3 linked regions of the Caenorhabditis elegans genome follow. The protein of the gene in region 3 interacts with the protein of the main gene of each other region in a pairwise test. Each region holds a gene or a part of one and is shown on either strand. Other genes may lie near its edges.

Region 1 (4,836 bases), on a different chromosome or scaffold from region 3:
AAAATTGCAAGTAACTTACATGGGAGTGATATTAATGACATGTTGTAATTGCTGTGAACGCCGCTGCTGTTGTTGCAGAGCCATCAATAAAGTAACGTTGTCTTGCGAATTTGTGTTTTGTCGGCCGTCTTCGCTTGTGCTAGGTAAGGACATTGAAGATGTTGGTACACTGGAAAATTTTATTGAATACTGCTGCTTAAAAACTTTAAAATGAAATGCTTTCTAAAAACTGAGTAATTTGCATTTCAGTTATCATTTGAAAAATCAAGTCCGACTAATCAATATTAGAGTCAAAAACAAAAACTATTTTTATCTGATAGCTTCAAAAAGTGAAAACATAAACTCAAAAAATATTTCTTTAAAGTTTACCCTACCTGTTAGAAACCCGTTGTGGATTTATTAAATCCTCATACCAGGGCGGCCGGAGCAATCTCAAATTTGCCCGAGACACTAGACTTGAGTAATTTGCGTTGGTCACTTTCACCTGCAAAAAATTGGCATTAATTAATGTACTTGCAAGTTCATAGTTTTTGCAAGAAATCTAGTCTAGTACCATAAATTTCGGCGGATTCCCGTTGCTTGATTGAAGTTCAGCCGTTCTGTAAATTGTTTCTGACTTCTCCAGTGGTAATCGTACTGCCAGAATTGTGTTTGAGACAAGTGTTGTTAACTGAAATATGAAGAGTAATAAATGTTCTTGAATATATTTTAACTGATGGGGAAAGGTATCTTGAAATTTCATTTTTGAAATTTCTTTAGTGTTATTTGTTAGTAAAATGAGGTTATCTTTATACGCCAAAAAATTAAAACTTACGTCGGAAAGACTAGGAGCCTGATCGGCAATCACCATTGTCAAGTTAAACTCGCTTGTTACATAGTCATATCTAGCTTCTCTACCATCATCCAACTGAAAATACTTTATTTTATTCTTTATGTGCTCAAAATCCACTAACCTGCACAATTATATCGCGGTTACCATATGCAGTTTTCACAAACCCCGGCTGATATACACCAGGAGGCACTCGTGCCAAAACCCGATGTCCCAACCAGTCTACCAGAATAACGTTAGAGTTAACAGATGTCGCTGCGGCTATTAGATCTGTGTTATATTGTACGGGTATCGGATGGTGAATACGAGTAGCTGCAGGTGAAGGTAAAGGTTCAGCTGTGGTATCCGATGATGGTTGCGATGTCTGTGGAGGTGGAACGTCGTCTGAAGGTTGGTCTGAAAATCAATTGGTAAGGAGAAAATGCGAAAAACTGAATTAGTCTCACTTGGTGGAGAAGACTTCTGAATATTTAGATTACGTAAAATATCAGGGTTAAAAAATGCGGAGAAGCGGAACGCGCCGATTGGGCCAGCTGGTGTTGGCGCTTCTGGAACACTTATGAGTTGTGATGTTCAATGCAAAATATGGCGGGAATGAAATCAAAAAGAAGCAACAAAAAACATTCCCTACTATGTACAACAAAAAAAAACTACACTGACAAAAAAGAGGCGCCCATTGCACACCTATCCAAGCGAAAGTCCGGATGCGAGACCGAGAATTTATACGTTTTTCGGAGAGTTGCAGGAGAGCTCAAAAAGGGAACAAAAACCAAATGGAACACAGAAAGTTGTACTACATAAACTATGAGAAGGGTATTCCATTCAAAGTAAACCACACAAAAAGATGAAGAAAAAAGCGAAAATTTTTGTTATAAACGTTATTGACAGAGCAAAGCAGATGGCCAATCATCATTCGGGTGGGAATAATTTTAGGTTGCAGTTGGGAGGATGCACTACACGTGAACGGCAAAAGAATACAAAAATATTCTGGAACTTACGTGACGAGTTTGTGGGAGACAGATCATCTTGGCTTTCTGACGTGTGACTTCGAAACGCGGTCGCTGCCGCTGATGGCAGCGATTGTTGAGTGAGCAATGACGGAATGGCCGCAATCTGCAGAATCGGATAGATAAAAACGCTATCTTACGTCAAAAAGTATACATTCGTCTGGTTAGAAAAGATTATCCAATGATTTTAATCAGCTTTCTGATCAGTTTTAAATTACGTTTCTTTTTCTTTTCTGATCAATGTCCTAAAGTAAATAAATAAGAAATATTTGTTAGTTAGGGGAACAAAACCAATAAGTACCAAATATTTTTATACATATAAGTGATGAAACATATGTACTTATTAAATGTTCTCAATTTCATTAATTTCATTTTGTAAATAAACGTGGTATGGATTTTCTCCTGCTAGACTTCGAAATGATTATTTCCTGAACCCAAACTATAAAAATATTCTACAAGTTTCTATTTTTCAAAACATACAAAGATACATTTTAAAATAAAGGCATTAAATACCCAAATACCGAAACCCATTCTTGAGGAGTTGAAATGTTTCATTTATAAAATTACGAAATTTTCTTCAATTTTATGGAGTAAAACTTTAAGGAAGTTAATTGAAATAAATTTTTGGTAAATAATTCCTTTTTTTAATCAAAATAAATTGTTAAAAACTCAATTAGGGGGGAGCATGAATAAAATTTTTGCAAACAAATTTAGCTCAAACAAATGGTTCAAACCTTGAAATAACAGGATTTAAAACACAATCGAGGAGTACTAGAAAATAATAAGGATTTTTGACCATTAGCCTTTCAAAAATGTTTTAGTATAGCTTCCGAATTTTTGAACTTTTTAGTAATATTTCTGAATGAATAATGTTAACCTGCTAATTATTCCGGTCACTAGAATAATAGTAGACTCGTCGAGAAGCTGGAGACATATATAAATAGAGGTTTTCAAAACACTAGAATTAGAAGTACTAACATTATTAGAAGTCAAAGGTAATACTAGAAAGTTGCGCAAAAAAAATAAAACACGGTAATTTGAAACTAAAATCCATACAGATACAATTTTTCAGGTCAACCTAGTTGTGTTTTTAGTTGGTTCGTTTGGCAGAACGTACTAGAAGAAAACAATGATACTGTACCTGTTTCGGAGATCCGCCTTCTTGATTTTCCATCGAGATGATTTCAGGAACGATTTGCAAACTTCCTGTATAATATATATTTTTCAATTTGAAAAAATATGCAAGATAGTTCAACTGAAATTTAAATATTTTTATGGAGCCAAAATATGTACTCCACCCTACTCCAGATGCAAAGAGCATTCCAAAACGCAGAAAAAGAAAATACTTTCAAACTCACCTTGATTTTCAAAAAGACTCATGGAAAAAATACCTGACGCGTGTACTGCATGGGAAGCTGCCGAGCACTGCCTGCTAGTAGTTGCACATATCACAGATTGTGGGTCAGTCCTCCTAAACAGGACCTGAAATCAGGCTGCTCAATGAACAATGTGAGGTTTCCCGCCGAAGCGAATGTCTAGAGAACGAAAGGTTTGAAAAGATTTGAATAATTATTCTGATGAAAAAAATTTGAAGAAAAAAAAAGAAAAAATAAAGCTTTAAAAATGAAGCCTTGAAGATTAAGTGACTCAAGAACTAGAGGAAAATGCTAAGAAGTGAAATGTAATGGAACAGAACAACATTTTCGGAGAGTTTTATGATTTTCTAAATTGTGGGCGGATGATCTGGAAGTGACTTGAATTGATCTAATCTCAACCCAATGATGAGTGATTTGATAAGGGGATAAATGCCATTAGGATTTCGAAAAAAAAATTTGAAAACATAATCAATGGCTTCATAATGTGATGTCAAAATAACAAAAGATGATGCACTTCCTAGAATTATAATTGATATTCAACGTTCAAAATTTGAAAAACGTGATATTTCAATATTTCCACAAAAAGTTTTGATCAAGAATAAATCCTACCAAATTTTGAGGACATGTTAGTTCAGAAATTGTTAATATTTTTCGTTTGAAATTTCCGTGGTTATGTGCTAAAACTCGACATCTACATAAACAGTTAGCAATAGGAAAATTTTATTTAGGCTGTGATTTGATGAAAATATATATTAGGTTACTTAAAATACATAAGAACCCAAATTTTATAATTGTTTTAAAATTCTATTTAATAATGAAAATATCACTAGATATTCTCTTATTCCTTAATTTTTACACTTTAGACACGTTCAGATAACAATGTAGGTAAGCAAGGTGCTGGTAAAAATTTCTGCGTCAGACTCCAGTTCCGAGATATCAAAACGATATTCAGTGTTCTATAAATTTTACAACAAAAAAATCACGGTGGCACTGAAATAAGTCGTCGCTGATTTCAGGTAAGCTTTATACCATATTTTCTAATCCTCTAAAAATCTTTCCATGATGTTCTAAAAATAATGTATGGCGTAAATTTCGCACAGATTAGGGATGCTTTCGCTATTTTGAGAATTACCGAAGGATTTTGTAGAAAATCGGTTGCGACTAAAATTGATAGTCAAGGATCATTTACCTTTGCCAACGACGCGTATTTACAATACTAGAACAAAAACTACGTAACTGCTTACGTCGTCACCCACACCCCCTCCCATCACCTGAATTCGCCATCTAGATCCTGACTCGACCCGTACGCGTACACTGATGACAACATTTGTTGATTCTTCGTTTTCTTTTTTTTTTGGGTTAACCTAATACTTTGCCGTCATCAAGGCTAATTGTATGTTTTGTCGGGCAAAAACATCAGTTCATTCAGCGGTTGGCGAATGAGACTACGATCCCGACGGCAATTTTTACATGACACTTTTTTTTTCGTAATTTGTTGTCTTTCGGGTTGATCTAACATTTAATGAAATTGGGTTCCGAGACCACACCCACTGGAGGGTTCGCATGCAAATTGGGTGGAAAATCCGGGAAAAAGGTCGAACGCGGAAACTCTTTTAGAGACGGT
Region 2 (7,677 bases), on a different chromosome or scaffold from region 3:
AACAAACTCCCGCACTCAGCCCATCAATTCTCCATAGATGATGCCCTTTTCAGATAGCGGAAAACCCCGCATCATCATCATCTCACACTTCTCCGGATAGATAGATAAAGATATATCCAAGTGTTACAAAGGTGTGAAGACCCCCAAAAGTTGACATCGGCGCGTGGCCCTTAATTATGACCGCATACCACTTCAAACGATACCGCCACCGTTTCTTCGTCCCCCTGATAACATGGTCCCAGATTATCAGGAAAATGGTGTAAGACAACCTTGCGCAATCCGGGAAGATGAAGAAGGAAATGATGATGTGACACGTGCCGAAAAAGAAATTGGGCCCTACTTGTTGATTGGGTAATGCACGTGTAGTTTTCAGGTGTTTTCGGTATTAAAAGGCTATTTGTATGGGGTAATAAAGGATTAATGACTAGGATTATTTCACATTATTTCACATATTTTCACGTTTTGTTTCTAACTGAAACTCACAAATAATTCTCCAATTGTGTAGTTTAGAATAGATTTATATCTTTAGACACCGTCGGTAAACAACTAAAAATACCATTATTCATCTCAATGACATAAACTTTCCCAACACGAGCCCTCCCAAACACCGACTCGCTAATTGCGAGCAATTTATTGATTGACAGTTCGCGGATGAACTTGTTTTGCACATTGTAGATCGAGATAAGACAAGTAGGTTCTTAAGTCGGGCCGACACAAAACAGATAGGTCTAAAAGAACGTCTGAAATTGAATAATCAGATAAGACAGAGTAAAGGGATACTGAAAAAAGAATAGTTATAGAAATACTTGAAAATCTGAATGAATAGAGGTGACAACTATTTTTCCAAACTTACAACTAACACTGGTCTCAAATTACAGATACATATATATGTTAGTTTTTTCAGATTTCAAATTAACCTACCCGTAGGCTGGTAGGCAAGAATGTAGTCGATCTTTGCAAAGTCATATCTTTAAATTTCTCATTGGAAATATTTGTACCGTATCCTCGAAGCACTTTTCCTCCTGACCTCTTTTGTTTGTAAAATATGTTTACACTTTTGAACACTGGAAATGAAAATGGGGAAATTGGTCATTGCCAACAAGTTACACTACTCTCGAAAGTTGTCTGTTTGTTCTATCTGTTCTTGTTTCCGTGAAATTGCAACTTTTGGAATATGTATGTTTTTGGTAATCAGAAAATTATTTTTGTGTTAGGTAAGTCCAACAAATCACATAATCGAAAAAGCAAACAAAGAAAGTAAACTTTGTCTGAAATCCATTAAGAAGCTGTTTTCAAATATTAGTAGCATGAATAATTCTAACGCTGTTTAAGCTTTTAATGGACATGAACGATTTTTAAAGTTTTGAAGTATTCGTTTCTGGTTCCAGTTTCATGTTAGAGTTACTTCTAGCTTCACCCAGAAGCACGGTGGACTGCTTAGATCTATGTAGCTATCTGCAAATATTTTGAATCTGCAAGATCCGCACGCTCCTAGATGTCCTTTTCTTCGAGACTATCCACAGGTGAATCACCATTTTGCAGGTGCTACTACCAAACATTGACCTTTCAAATCAAAACCATCGAGCACATAAATCTTCATCTCCAAAAATCCACCTCCTAGTCAGAATATCTCTGATAACAAACCCACATACCCCGCGCCAACATCTACTAGTACGTCCTTTGATGCTTACCGCCCGTGTCTTTCGCCCTTCTCTATGTCTCGCTGGTTTCGATTACCGTACTCGAGACTATGCATGCCTGTAACAGACCGCGCATGCGCATAGGTGGGCGGGATCGCCGTCCCGCCCATTCACAGTTCGACAAGGCGTGTCACCTCGAAACTACTCGCTCCTTAAGTTTTCACGCTATATACCTGATATTCACACATTCGGTATATTGGGGGCCAGCCATACGTGCTCCTGATATCCCATCCACTACTAACAAAATGACCACAGATTCTATCACATTTAATCACATTCTTGGGCAGGTAAGTCTATGGTTTCGATAAGTTGTTTTCTAGTTGTAGTGCATAAACTACTGCTCAGGTATTTTTTAATGTCTAGAAGTAGGAGATGTATCCCGGAAAAATTTGATTGAAGAAATTTTTGGAAATTCTAGATGGTTCTAGAATGTACGTTAATTTCGAATTATTTCTATACTGGCTCAGACGTTTTAAGGAGCTAAAATTAAGCTCTTGTTAATTATACAGTTTGAAGTTGTAGCCTATAGAAACTTTTGATTTATTGTTAATAGAGCTCATCAAGCATCACAAAAATTAGATAGTATCATTACTATAGTTAGCCTTAAGTTAGATTTTCATAGCATTTGAAAAGTTTTTGAAAATATGTTTTGAGTTTTCCAAGTCTCAATTTCTTCTCCTTTCTCACCGCCTCTATTGAAGCCCAAAATTAATTCAGGGTCGTGTTAACCAACTCGGTGGAGTTTTCATCAACGGTCGACCCCTTCCAATTCACGTTCGTCATGCTATCATTTCAATGGCCAAAAAGGGTATAAAGTAAGTAGTCCGAACTTCTAGAGAACACTAACAATAATCTTTTAGACCATGTCACATCAGTCGTCAACTCAAAGTATCTCATGGAGCTGTTTCGAAAATCTTGAATCGTTACGCCGAGACGGGCTCAATATCTCCGGGACAGGTCAGTGCATTTTCTGGATGATAAGATAATTTGCTAATTAGGTCATCAGGCAGGCGAATCATAACCATAAAATTTAATGTTTGCCTACACGTGCCGCGTGTCGTCGTCCTGATTCAAAAAAGTACCGTAATACTCAATTTTGGCGGGTCGCGCAGGTGCGACGCCCCGGGTGGCACTTTTCGGCATTTTTCAAAAAATGCGTCGGATGTCTGTGTTTCTGTTAAAGTAGTTGTTGTCTACTAGGTTTTTGGTTACCAAAAACATACGGTAATTACAATTCCAAAAAAAGTAAACTTTGAATTCTTGAAAATTCCATTTTGTTGGTTGCAAAACGGCAAAGAGTGTAGAACGGGGAGTGCAAATATACAAAACAATTTTTATTCATTTATAAACTTTAAAATCATCTCAAAAACAACCTGAAACTTTCCAAGAACTGATATCAAAACGTTTTCGGCAAATGACAACTTTGAAACAGTTTTTGAAATTTTTCTCGACTATTTCAATGCAAATAACTGATATTTTCAAACTGATCAAATATTTTTCTATCTATATTTCTACATTTAATTTAATAAAAAAAAGAGTTATAATCTGGGATTGGGCAGTTTTGTAGATTTGCCGAAAATATTCGTCATATTTCTTACATAAGCCTAGCGAAAGCAAATGCTTTTTAAACATAAATATCTATGAATTAATTTCAGATCGGTGGAAGTCCCCGCGCTCGACTTACAGTCCAAGCCGTCGAGAAAGAAATTCTGATCGCATGTGATGAGAATCCACAAATGAGCGCTGCAGAGCTCCGAGATTGGCTTATTCACAAAGACATTTGCACAAAAGGAAATGCTCCAACAGTACCTGCGATAAAAAGGCTTATTGGGAATAAAGGTATAATAATGATGAAAACTGTGAAGGCAAAAAAAAGGTAGAGGAATAGATGAAAAACAAACAGAAATTCGTTTCGTTTGATGAATGTTCCGCTTCTGATAGCTGTGGTTGTGTTTGTTTAACTGTTGACAACGATTTTTTTTGTTTCGAATACTTTCATGGAAACTTGCTTGGGCGTCATTTTTTGATGCGTGATTTTCCACAAAAATTCAACAAACCTCACAAGAAGAACTTCTAGACATATTCGATCAAATTATCACTTTCTATAACCTCATCAATCATTTCTTCACGCCAATCATATCATCTTTTTTGCTGCACTTTTTCATCATATCTTCCTTATCACTTTTTTTTGTTTTAATTTCCTTATCAATATTTATCTTCACACAAATCACCACATACTTTTTTGCAGGCGTCGGGGTTCCGAAGAAAATGGAACGAAAACGGCTGAGCTACAGTATCGACAGCATTCTGGGAATTTCAATTGGTAAGTGGTCTAATTGGAATAGTCTTGATTTCACACATTTATAATTTCGTTCCGTTTGTCTCATGTCCTCCAACACCTTTTTTGGGTGTCGGATTTCCTGTTCAATCAGGCAACATTCCGTTCTTTCAATTCAATTTTCTTCTGCCATATAGTAACACACAAACAGACGTAGCATGAAAGTTTTCATTCCTCCCAATATTCCCAAAGGGGCCAGAGGGCATACTGTATATTGGACTTCTTTGATATAATAACGGTCATTAACACTTTGATTAGTATCGCCTGTATGTCGCTGTGTATGTTAACGGTGTGATAAGACGATAAAGGCGAAGACGTTGAAGAAGTGGGGGCGGAAAGGACAAGAAGCGTCGGTGAAGAATGATGTGAATTAGACAAGGGGGCACGCGTCAGGGGTTGATTTTAATCAACAAGACCATCGTATTTGTTTGTGAGTTGCATGCTGTGCGCCGCCACGGAGATCTTCAGGGAGAGAACCATGACTGATTGAATTACGGGTTACGGTAGTGTACCGCATTTTGTTTCTCCTGATCTGCAACAAGCGTACCGGAATGTCCCGCGTGTCTTCAGGCCTACCTGTTAGCTTGCCTACTGCCTATTCGTCTACATCTTGGTGTGAAGTCTAGGGTCTGATGTTGCATTGTGAAGCCTATAGGTAGGTCGCCTTGATGTCCGGTAAGCAGGCACTTTTGATCCTAAAATCTTGTTTGATCTGTGCTCAGTTGTTAATCACATTCGGTAGGGTACGGTAGTTGTGCAAGAAAATCGTAATCTAAAGAAAGAGCATGTCAAATTCCAGGCATCATACGCCTACCTTGTAGGCACGCAGGCAGGCATTTTTATCATGTTCGGCACTCCAAACAGTTTCATTAAATCTTTGTCTGAAAATTCAAGTTTAACAACAGCTTTGAGACTGTTTATATAGAACGAATAAAAGTGAAATTTTTGGTTTTTAAAACTTCCAAAACTTTTAGCCTACTTTTTATAAGAAACTAGACAGCCACAAACTTATGTTTTTGCAAGTTACTTGAATTTCTAGGGGTCATGCCACTACCTCCTGCTGTTTCAACTTCTTGTCTTCCAAAACTTTCAACACTTCCCCTCTCTTCCTGTCCCGTTTTTTCCCGCTTCCTAACTTGTCGTCAATCTTGTCATTCCTTAAATTGTGAACCACCGCTCAACTTCGCACATTTTCGCATACACGTAGCAATTAAGATAGGGGGAGAAGATTTGCGCACTTGATAGGTGCCTATTCAAATAGGTAGGTAGGAGGAGGAGAAAACGATCCAATAAATTCCATATTTTCGCGGCCAATTGATCAGGATGGGCACACGAGTGACTGGCGCGAGAGAAGATTGGGATGCGCGAAAAAAAGCAAACACATGCATACGAACATAATACATATCCGCAATTTAACACATTAAAACTTTGACATTTGACATTTGACAATATGATTGTTAGGGATGTGGGTTACGGTATGTTGCGCAAGATCGTTAGTAGGTGTTGGTCAGCTTGCCTGGAAGGCAGGCAGGCATGACAGATCATTGTGAGCTTGTTTATTATCAAGTTTTTACCGAGTCCGAGTTACCCTCTCTCCACCACAAACCTTGAACCAAAGTTTGAACTCGGCGGTGCGGTAACGTGATTTTTCAGAAATTTCCCGAATTTGTCAGAATACTTCCATGATTTTCCACATGTCTATATTTCTATTACATTCATAAGTAACAAAAATTAATATTTTCCAAAAATAGGTAGCCGTTGAAAACACAACGCAACGACTGATATTTAGGTATCAGAGACTGGAGTGATAAAGTTCCAGGTGAAAAAAGAAATGGAAACAAAAGTTTCTTCTTCCTGGAATACGCTCAGAATACATTGCTCAATGGGAATATATTATAGCACTCCCCCGCGCCGTTCTTAATGAGCATTGGGAATTATAGAACGATATCGTTAAAAACTACAGTATGCTTAAGGGAGAATTCATTTTTGAAAATCTTACTCTACTCGGCAAGTAGCTAAAGTTTTCTGCAGACTATTACCAGAAAGAGGACTAAGTGCGGTAGAAATCTGCTTTGATTTGACAAGAACGGATGAAAAATATTAATGAGATAAAAGATCAAGTTGAGCATCCTTGAAATCGACATTCTTCAAATTAGAACATTGTATAGAAATAACCTTACCTTCCTTCCTTCCGTCACTATAAAATACTCCTGTGACAGAAACCGATTAGCGCACAGCTCATAAAACTTGGATGTGAGAAACGACGGTGATGATGGAGTGATCCGTCAAAAAATGGAACGATAAAAACAAATTAATAGGGTCCATTCCACCACATGATATCTCTTTCTCAAGTACACAAAGGTGTCAAGTCTATAAATTAGAAGAGACACCCCCCCTCCCCCACCCGCAATAGGGTCTCTCCCGATCTTTATCGATTATTTTTAGAGAAGTGTGTCTATGCGAGAGGCCTACGACATGACTGAGACCACCCACTGTGGCGCAACATTATATATAGTAATTGGGCGACTCGACTGGCAGGCCGTAGTCTTTCTCTGTTAGATACCTTACAATTGACTCATTGATTTCCGGATTTTGAGGGAAAATGCTTGATAGGCGGGGGTCTGATTTTGAATTTTTGAAATAGAACGTATGCGGAACTCAAATAATTTTCAGTCTCGAGGCAGGCGAGTCCGGAAGCCTTTCAGAAAGGCATTTCAGCATGCTCATTATTCATTAGAGCCTCCCTGGTATCAAATATATTCTAGTTGCAATAGTTACTTCAACTTTTGACGTCGCATGCTATTGAAAATGTTTGTTATTTTAATTACGCCTGGAACATTTGCCCTTTCGATTTTCAACGGATGAAAAAAATGGCAGATGAAAAATATTAGTTCCACATTTCGAAAGTCTGTATAGAGAGAGGATGTATAGAGTTTGTTAATGAAAATTCAAAAATGCATTCACGTACCCAAAAATGGTAGCTATGATAACCCCTTTCAAAAAAATAATTTTCAGACGAATGCAGCAAATCGTCATCGGATGACGAAGAGGGCTCTTCACCATCAAACGACGCATCGTCTCGTCGAAATCGTACATCATTCACTGCCGAGCAACTAGATGTTCTTGAAAATGCGTTCCGCGCAGACACTTACCCACATGCCAACGCCAGAGAGAGCATTTCCAAGGAGACAGGGCTCAGCGAAGAGAAAATTATGACGTGGTTTTCGAATCGGCGAGCAAGATGTCGGAAAAATATGCCAATGTATCAACAGTACAATGTTCAAGGTTTTGGATCATCTCCGCCGGTTAGTTAGAAATCGAAACTATATATTAGAAAACAAATTACTAAAACTTTGATTTTCAGTCCTACCCAACGCTGCTGCCTTCACCGATGATGTTCCTACCCTCCTACTCAACGAGTCCTCAATTGAATCCGTTATTCTTTCAACACATACTCCAATCAAGTCCCCCATCAAGTCAATCATCTCCGCCATCATCAAGCTAAACGCTTTGAACTTATTTCTGAACTTTCAAATAAAACCTGTGATATTTGAAAGTCGATCAGAAATTGATACACAAATTTAATTTGAAAGTCCAGAATTAATTTTAAAACATTACCTTAAGAATTCACCCATTCTT
Region 3 (7,872 bases):
AGGACATGACTGTCATGTGCCCAAGTGAGCCACTTCGTCCTTCAAGACCATTAGCTGTGGGCATTGTGGAGTTGGAACGAGTGATAGGAGTCGTCTGAAATGGAATATAGTTGAGCATGAGATTGGAAATGAGCTCAAGAGTATGAGAAGATAAAGTAATAACAGGGCTCGCGCACCTGCTCCGCCTATTCTGACAAAATGTGAGCGCCGCTGCGTGAGGAGGGAGCCAGAGCAGCGTGCGAAGAGAGAGAGAGAGAGAGAGAGCGCATGCTTTGGAGCAGGAGCAGATTAAAAACCATAAGATCAGAATTTTCCCTCTCTCACTGGTTCTGTCGTCGACGTCTTCTTCTCATGCAGCTGTTAGGTCAAGGTGCGCGTGAGAGCTATGAGCAGACTAGAATATTTTCCTAAGAAACCGCGATTTCAGAGAAAGAAAGCCAGCTAGCTATTGACAGATGCCTTACACATATGAAGTGCAAAACAAGAGTCTAGTTTAGGTGGAGAATACTTACCGATGAGGTTCTCGTCTCCGAGTCCATGTCTGGTGTTGAAGTTTTTGAGCAGAATGAGGAACGGCGGGAGAAGCCTGAAAAGTTTCGAAATATTGAATTGGAACATATTGTGTGTGTGTATGTGTTGGAAAAGAAGAAAATGGAAAGTGTTTCGCGTTTCACTGCAGAATGAGAAACAATAGAAAATCGAATGCATCTTTCTTTCTCTCGGGGGGCCCCGAGTGTGGGTATATAGGACAGGTACTAGGTGCCGGATAAAGATCAGTAGAGGGACACAAGGGTTCCGTACTTGGGAAAGGAGTCTCGCACTGGATAATGCCGCCGGCTTACGACGGAGTGAAATGGGAGACGAAACATGTTGAGAGAGAGAGAGGAAGAAGAAAGAGACGCGAATAGAAATTCGGTGATCTTTAAATCCTTCACTATTTGGTGCGACTGGTGTGTTGCTCACCTTTTTTACATTATTTTTTCATAGTCTGTGTACACTTACTCCCACTGATTCAGTCCTATTAGAAAAGAGAGAGAGAGAGAGAGAGAGAGAGAGAGAGAGAGAGAGAGAGAGAGAGAAATGAAAAAAAATGTATATGAAAGAGCAGCACACCAAAACACAGGGATCATACGTAATGTGAGCTAATGTGATTCACCATTTGCCTACGTCAACGCCATTTTGATGATTTCTAATCTCTATTCATTTATATGTAGACATCGAAAATTGAGAACAAGAAAAGTGACGGAAATCTGTTTACAGTCGAGCCGGCGGCTCCAGACACATACTTGGAATTTCTATTTCTGTTTGGCCAGCATACGCGCATACGTGCTCAATCTAACCATCGGTCAGCGGATATTCAAATGATAATTGCTATTATTTTGAACTGACACGAGATATGTGCCAACCGTCGTGAGTCATTGAGACACCAAAGCATAACTTTGTAGACAGATAAATTGAGTGGGAAAATTGTGAAAAATGAAAAGGAGAGAGAGAGAGAAAATAATTACGTATAATCAAATGCAAAAAGATCGTAGACGGGCTGCATAAGGGATCAAACCAGGGAGCTAAAACTCAAAACGGAAGACGTTCCAAGGAGTTTAGCTCAATTTTTTGAAGACAGAACCGAAATTATAATACATAAAAATGAAAATGAAGACTAGACGAAATGCCTGAAATATTCGCGAATAACAGAAGAGACAGTCGTCCTCGGGAGGCTGGGCACACAAACACATACACAGAAAAGTGATTGTGTACTGAAAATGTGAGCGCCTTTTCGTCATCCTCTCTGTGTGTGTGTGTGTGCCTTAAAATGTGAAAAAACGTGGAAAAACGAGAGGACGATGAGAACCGAGTAGACTAGTAGTTGCGAAAATCAGACAGGGCAAACGAGAAATAGTACAGATGTGATGAGAGTGTGCAGACGCAATGAGAAAGAGTGCAAGGTCCTGAAGCGACCGAAGAGAAGGGATGAAAGGGGGGGGGGGAGGAGGAGAAAGAGTTGCTGGAATGTACTAAAAACAAGTAGATGGCGAATGAGCAAAACAAAAAGGTCAGTGGAGGGTTCGAGTCGATCAGGACACACATTTTTGTATATATCAAGACGACGAAAACAAGATTCGTAGATTCGAGGGATGGAACTAGGAAATAGAATTTTCAGCGATCTAAGAACACTTGTTCTGAATATAGAATTTTGTTATTGCGGCGTTCCAAAAGTGCGACGAATTACACTGGAACGATCAGAAAGCGCAAGAATCAGGTGATTTTTGTAATGGTATAAAGGAAAAAAACTGATAACACTATCAAAAGATTAGTCTAGTACCGGTACCTACAGTCTACTTTTTTGCAAAAGTTGGGCAAATAGTTGCTTTGTTTTTGAAAAGTGAATGTCATGGGATCGAATTTTGTAGTAAACTCTTGAAATCAAAAGATCATGTCCTTTCCAAAATATCTAACAAATATGAAACATCATCGCAAACTCCAAAATAGTTTTGAAATAACACTTGATCTTTCAGTGGTTCTGCTGTCTACGTTGTTAGTCATACAGAGATTTTCGATCGCGTACGAGAAACGAACAAAACAACCGAGTACATTTTTGTGGAAATCTAGACGGAAGTTATGCATATTTGTGGGGGAACTAGGGAGTAAGCGCCAAAACACAACTGAGAAATCAGAGATCTATGGGTACTATATGGATTCTAATTTGATAGTGAAGGAGTAGGAGACAGAGATCAGGGAAAAGCTCACCTTCTTCATCGTCAACACTGGATCCGGATTCTGGAGCATGTCTCTTTGCATTCAGAGCTGCTGCCAACTCGATCTTTTCCTTATTTCTCTTGTTGAACGACTTCAGGCGCTTGTAGTTTAGCTTCTCGCACTAAAATTTGAAAATTTGAAAACAAAATAGCTCCCAGACTCTTCTAGAACTTACCGATTTGCAATTGCACAGAATATATGGGCACTGTGGTGAGTGATTCTTGAGGATCACCTTCTCGCCGTGTCCTTCGCACTTTCGGCAGTAAAGGATGCGTCCCTTTGGCTTTGGGGAGTCCATGTCTTGGGATGATGGAGAGTAGTTCTCGTTGCTGCGGTGATGATGATGATGATGCTCGTCGTCGATGGTTACAGTAGCGATGATGTGTGGGCTCATTTTACTGAAAGAATTGGGAATTTGAGATATGTACGGAAGGAGAGCAAAAGATTTTTCAAAGTAAGACTTCTTACGAACAGCGTGAAACAGGAATTCTTTTAATTTTTTAAGTTTAAAATATGTGTAAAAAACAGACCTCTAGAAACAGAAAATTGAAATATTAAAAAATTTCAATAAATTTTAAAAATTAGTGTTTCAAAACTTGAATATTCGTTGGCTAGTTATGATTTACATAATGAAGCTCCCGAAATTTCGAAAAAAATCTAATTGTCTTACTGAATTTAATGATTCACAGTAATTCTGCTAGATGCACACAGCAAATTGATGCAACATGATCACTGTATAAACTTGTGAAAATAATGAAACAGTAATTTTTCTTCAAGACATATATATTCCAAGAGTACTACAGTAATCCACAAGAGCTTAACCTTAGCTAACCTAAAATCATGAAGACTGATCAGGAATAGTGACAAAAATGGAGGAGGAGCTCCAAGGGTCAAAGCGGAAGTTACAAAGGGACCTACAAGAGAGTAAGAGAAAAAAATATGTAATTTCTTTTTTTTTTCCCATTCGAAAAAAAACACACTCGATGGGTGTGTGTTCCAGCTTCCTCGTTCCTATTTTTCCAGTCCCTAGTGGTTCAATAATCACATATGCGGGGAACACACACACACAGGGGGGTGTTCGAAGATCACTCGGGGTCTACTAGTCTGGGCTCGAAAAGCTCAAAAATTGGGTGAAAAACATGCTAACGCGAAGCAGCAGAGACACTGGAGAACACAACACAAATTGTGATCTAGAACACACACAGAGAGAAATAGATGACCAGGCGAACGGAGCACAAAACAGAAGAAGCAGAACACGGAAATGAGAGGATGGTTGTGCAAAATAAGTAGAAAATATCTAGAGGAAGTAAATTAAGACATTTTCAGACAAGGAAATAAGCGTTTAGATGGAGATAACTAGGTTACTGTAGATGATTTTTGAAAATTGGAATTCTTAATGAAAATTTACTGTTTCACAGAAAATGTTTAAGAGTTTTAAAACTGGAACTGTAATATTTATGTGATTCTATTAGTAATAAAAAAACTCACATCAGTAAAGGATTTGCAAAAATTTTAAAAATCGAAAAAAAGTTACTGTTTCACGGAAAATGTTTGATTATTTCAAAGTAGAGGCATACTACTTGTAGAACGACAGGAAAATTACGGTTTCAAATTTTGAAATTTAATAACACTTTCACTGTAAATTTTGTGAAATTTGGCATATGAATTTGATTACTGACTAAAAATAACAATTTACTCCTAATAAGAAATACAAATCAAAAATTATGTTGCGGTTATGTATACGTAAAAATTTAAAAACAGTGAAATTTTTCACTGTTTCAAAATATGCATTAAAAATGTTGTGGACTCTTTTTTTTTTGCTATTACCAACGAAGTAGGTTCATCATTTTTCAACAAAAAATATTTATGTAGATTTTTAAAATCTTATTAAAATTTTGAATTCGAATTTTTGAAATTTCAAATTTTGAAGAAAAAAATTACTGTTTCAAAATAAAAATATGAAAAGTTCACAAAGTTCAAAGTGCTTTCGACAGAATTTAAAAAATATAGAAATTAATACAAAACACATCAATTCCATAGGTACAAAGTTCCGTAAGTTCGGTTCTTTGTTGCTCCTCCTCTACTACACACGGCACACAGAAAATGAACATAAAATTGGGCGGTACAAAGTTTAGGCGGGGTGTGCAAATATTTGACCTACTCTCCACCTCCTCCCACTAACCGGGTTGAATGACTGAAGAGGTCGAAAAGTGTGTTTTTGATCACAAACTTTATCATCATCATTCTGTGACTTTTCCAGAGAAGAAAAATCTAGAAAAAGTCAAGAAAAATGATTCAAAAAAATAGGAAAAATAAGTGATCAAAAAACTGGAGTTGGGGGACCCGCAAAAACAGAGAACACAACCGCCAGACAAAACATTTCTTCTTTTTCTTCGTCTCTTTAAAGATCGCCGAGTAAATTGACAACAAAAAGCTCAAAGTTTCAGTGTTTTTCTCTTTGAAGCAGGAACAAAAATTTTCAGCTTCTTTTCAGCTGAAGCTCAAACTTTTTTAAAAGAAAAAGACATTGTGAAACAGAAAAGTTCCCATTTCTTGTAAGAAATGACTAACAAGTGACACGGCAAAAAGTGAAAGAACTGGCAAACACGTAGCCTTTGTAGTCTACAAAATGTGTCTACAAAATGTACAATAAGGTGAAACTTTTAAAGAAAGAATAGAGCAAACACTTAAAAAAAATGGAACTTTTTTCAAAATTTTGAAACAGTTGAAAATTTTTTAATCAGAATAGTTTAGTTTATTGGGACCAATACAGGGCGATATCATAGCAAAAACAAACATTTATTTGTGAATTTCAGAACTTTTTGAAACAGTAAAATATTTTTGAAACCAAAACTTTGTGGTTGTCAGCCAAGCTACAAGAAGCGACGAAAATTATTGCAATTTTCAAACTTAAGTTTTGTTTATAAAAAAAAACAATGCTCTCTGTGTAAATTTCAAAATGTTTTGAAACAGTTAATTTTTTCCAAAGTCCAAAATTTTGAATTTTTTCCGTTTCCTCCGCCACGTCATTTGCACTAATTTTGTGCTTCCGACTAACATTATACAAACATCTTCACCGGTTTTCCTAGACACCTCAAGTGGCTAAATATGTTTGCAACAAAAAAAACACGAACTTACCAATGACCAGCTCCACAAAATAATATTTTTTTTTGATTGTTGAGCCACACGAGCTCCAACCAAAAATGGCTTCTTTTTGATGATTTGGCAATGAAAGTGAGATGAAGTCTGAAAAAAGAGGAATTTCTTTAAAAATTTGCGGAGAAATTGTATAGTAAATTGGAAAGAGAGAAGCCAAAATTGTGATTTTTGAAAAAATTATGGAAAAGTTTTGCATACGAAATCTGTTTAATACGATTATTTTTCACGTGCGCAGAGGGAACCGAAAGATTAAAAGTATATATGGAGAGAAAACTGTCGGAAAATGTTGGACGAAGTTTAATCAGTGAGGTTTTGTTGAAAAGTTTAGAAGAAACATTTTTGAAACAGTGAAAAAAATTTCCAAAAAAAAAAGAGTACAATTAGAACCTGTAAATTGAAAATTTTAATCAGTGATTCTTAATGCAGAAATTCGATCACGTTTTCATCGAAAAAGCCAGTTTCCACGCAGCTTCAGATCCCAATCAAAAACGATCCAGAATGAAGTGAAGATGAGGAAATGCAATGGAAGGGAATAACGAGTGTATTAAACTAGACACAGTTCGTATTAAGGGCGTATGTAGGAGTTTCAAGGTAGAAAGAGGCCGAAGCACGGGAGATGAATATCTTGAGGGATTTTTTGGGAAGTTTCTTGACTGTAACAGGAAAAAAAAGAACCGAAGTTATTGAGAAATGAAAGTTGAAATTAGGAACATGCAATTTTGAAACAGTATTTTTTTTCCGAAAAGTTAAAATTGGTCAATTTTGGCGGGAACGGCAGTTCAACAGATTTAAATATATATTTTAGCGAAATTTATATTAACATTCCAAACAGGTAACAAATTGTGAAAAAAGTTTAGGTTTCTGGCTGTAACAGGAACAAGATGCGACCATTAATGAGAAATCAAGCTTGAACTTAGAAAAATGCGGAAAACAAATTTTTTTGGAAATTTTAGTTATTGCAACTGCACATAAAATTGTTATATTTTCCAGCGACATGGTTTATATTAAGATTCAGAACAGTTAAATAAATTGGAAATAAATTGGATTGAAAAATTGTCGAAAAAATCACCGTTTCCTTATAATAAATTTTAAAACAGTAATTTTTTTTTTTGGAAAACTTAAAATAAGATCGGATTTCGTTAATTTTTCAGTTAATTTCTCACCAACTACACTTACTACAAATACTGAATTCTTGAATGTACGTGTGAATAAAGGTTAGATCCGCCGAGTTAGATAAGAAAAACACGGTAAATGCAGAAATCCCACATTTGAACGGATTCTGCTGCTGGAGGTGGAGATATCGAGTCACAGAATGTTCATTGGGATCTTTCAGAACTACTACTAACACTTGAAACGGCGAGGAATTTTCATGGAATTTTTGAAACAGTGAAAAAAATTTCCAAATTTTAAAAATTTTTAAATTTTGACATTCAAACTTCGAAAGTTAAACTATTAATTTTTATTTCTTGATTTCAAGTTTTAAGATTTACTTCTTAAACTTCTATCCAGAAAATTGTTACTGCTACAAACTACGGCCTACGGATACTACGGATACTACGGAAATTACGGATATTCAATTGGAACTGATGTTACTCAAAAGATCCGTGATCGAGATACAGCCGGGCAGGCGGGGGGTCGCTATGATTTTTGTTGTTACTCTTATGCAAGTAAATTGCACTTTTCTGGCCCCACTAAGTAGCTCACGCTTTTGTAGAGATCAAACGCCCTCCCTGTAAAGGCGTCACATCTCGAAAAATACATGGAGGAAAAGCTGCTTGTGTTGAGATTATGATCAGAGAAAACGATGTTGAACAAGAGATCGCAGAATTTTTTGATTGGAACGAAATAGAATGAAAAACAACTGCGAGAAATATTTTTATAGAATTTGAAAAAAAAAATTGAAAAAAAATTACTGTTTCAAAATTATCACAAAAAAAATTTTGTTGCAAAATTTTTCAG

The links. Proteins that work in one complex are often made in the same cells at the same time.
Region 1: the proteins of dmd-6 (region 3) and gei-3 interact in a two-hybrid assay, tested with the Caenorhabditis elegans proteins (one large-scale study listed by BioGRID).
Region 2: the proteins of dmd-6 (region 3) and pax-3 interact in a two-hybrid assay, tested with the Caenorhabditis elegans proteins (one large-scale study listed by BioGRID).

The regions. Positions count from the first base shown.
Region 1 is NC_003284.9:12,810,630-12,815,465, forward strand, and holds the start of gei-3 (HMG box domain-containing protein), read right to left. Parts: upstream 3,011-4,836; coding exon 2,978-3,010; intron 1,943-2,977; coding exon 1,828-1,942; intron 1,378-1,827; coding exon 1,276-1,377; intron 1,226-1,275; coding exon 954-1,225; intron 908-953; coding exon 815-907; intron 671-814; coding exon 554-670; intron 485-553; coding exon 375-484; intron 170-374; coding exon 20-169; intron 1-19.
Region 2 is NC_003280.10:10,144,903-10,152,579, forward strand, and holds the start of pax-3 (Paired box protein 3 homolog), read left to right. Parts: upstream 1-1,667; 5' UTR 1,668-1,945; coding exon 1,946-1,987; intron 1,988-2,417; coding exon 2,418-2,515; intron 2,516-2,560; coding exon 2,561-2,657; intron 2,658-3,355; coding exon 3,356-3,539; intron 3,540-3,948; coding exon 3,949-4,023; intron 4,024-7,053; coding exon 7,054-7,343; intron 7,344-7,402; coding exon 7,403-7,543; 3' UTR 7,544-7,677. UniProt on the Caenorhabditis elegans protein: Transcriptional activator. Regulates the lateral/ventral epidermal cell fate decision.
Region 3 is NC_003282.8:14,614,731-14,622,602, reverse strand, and holds the start of dmd-6 (DM domain-containing protein), read right to left. Parts: upstream 6,001-7,872; 5' UTR 5,893-6,000; intron 5,540-5,892; exon of another isoform or gene 5,519-5,539; intron 5,434-5,518; exon of another isoform or gene 5,413-5,433; intron 5,248-5,412; exon of another isoform or gene 5,227-5,247; intron 4,597-5,226; exon of another isoform or gene 4,576-4,596; intron 4,470-4,575; exon of another isoform or gene 4,449-4,469; intron 4,356-4,448; exon of another isoform or gene 4,332-4,355; intron 4,228-4,331; exon of another isoform or gene 4,207-4,227; intron 3,470-4,206; exon of another isoform or gene 3,449-3,469; intron 3,406-3,448; exon of another isoform or gene 3,385-3,405; intron 3,192-3,384; exon of another isoform or gene 3,171-3,191; intron 3,153-3,170; 5' UTR 3,149-3,152; coding exon 2,930-3,148; intron 2,876-2,929; coding exon 2,746-2,875; intron 2,422-2,745; exon of another isoform or gene 2,401-2,421; intron 1,080-2,400; exon of another isoform or gene 1,023-1,079; intron 587-1,022; coding exon 513-586; intron 95-512; coding exon 1-94.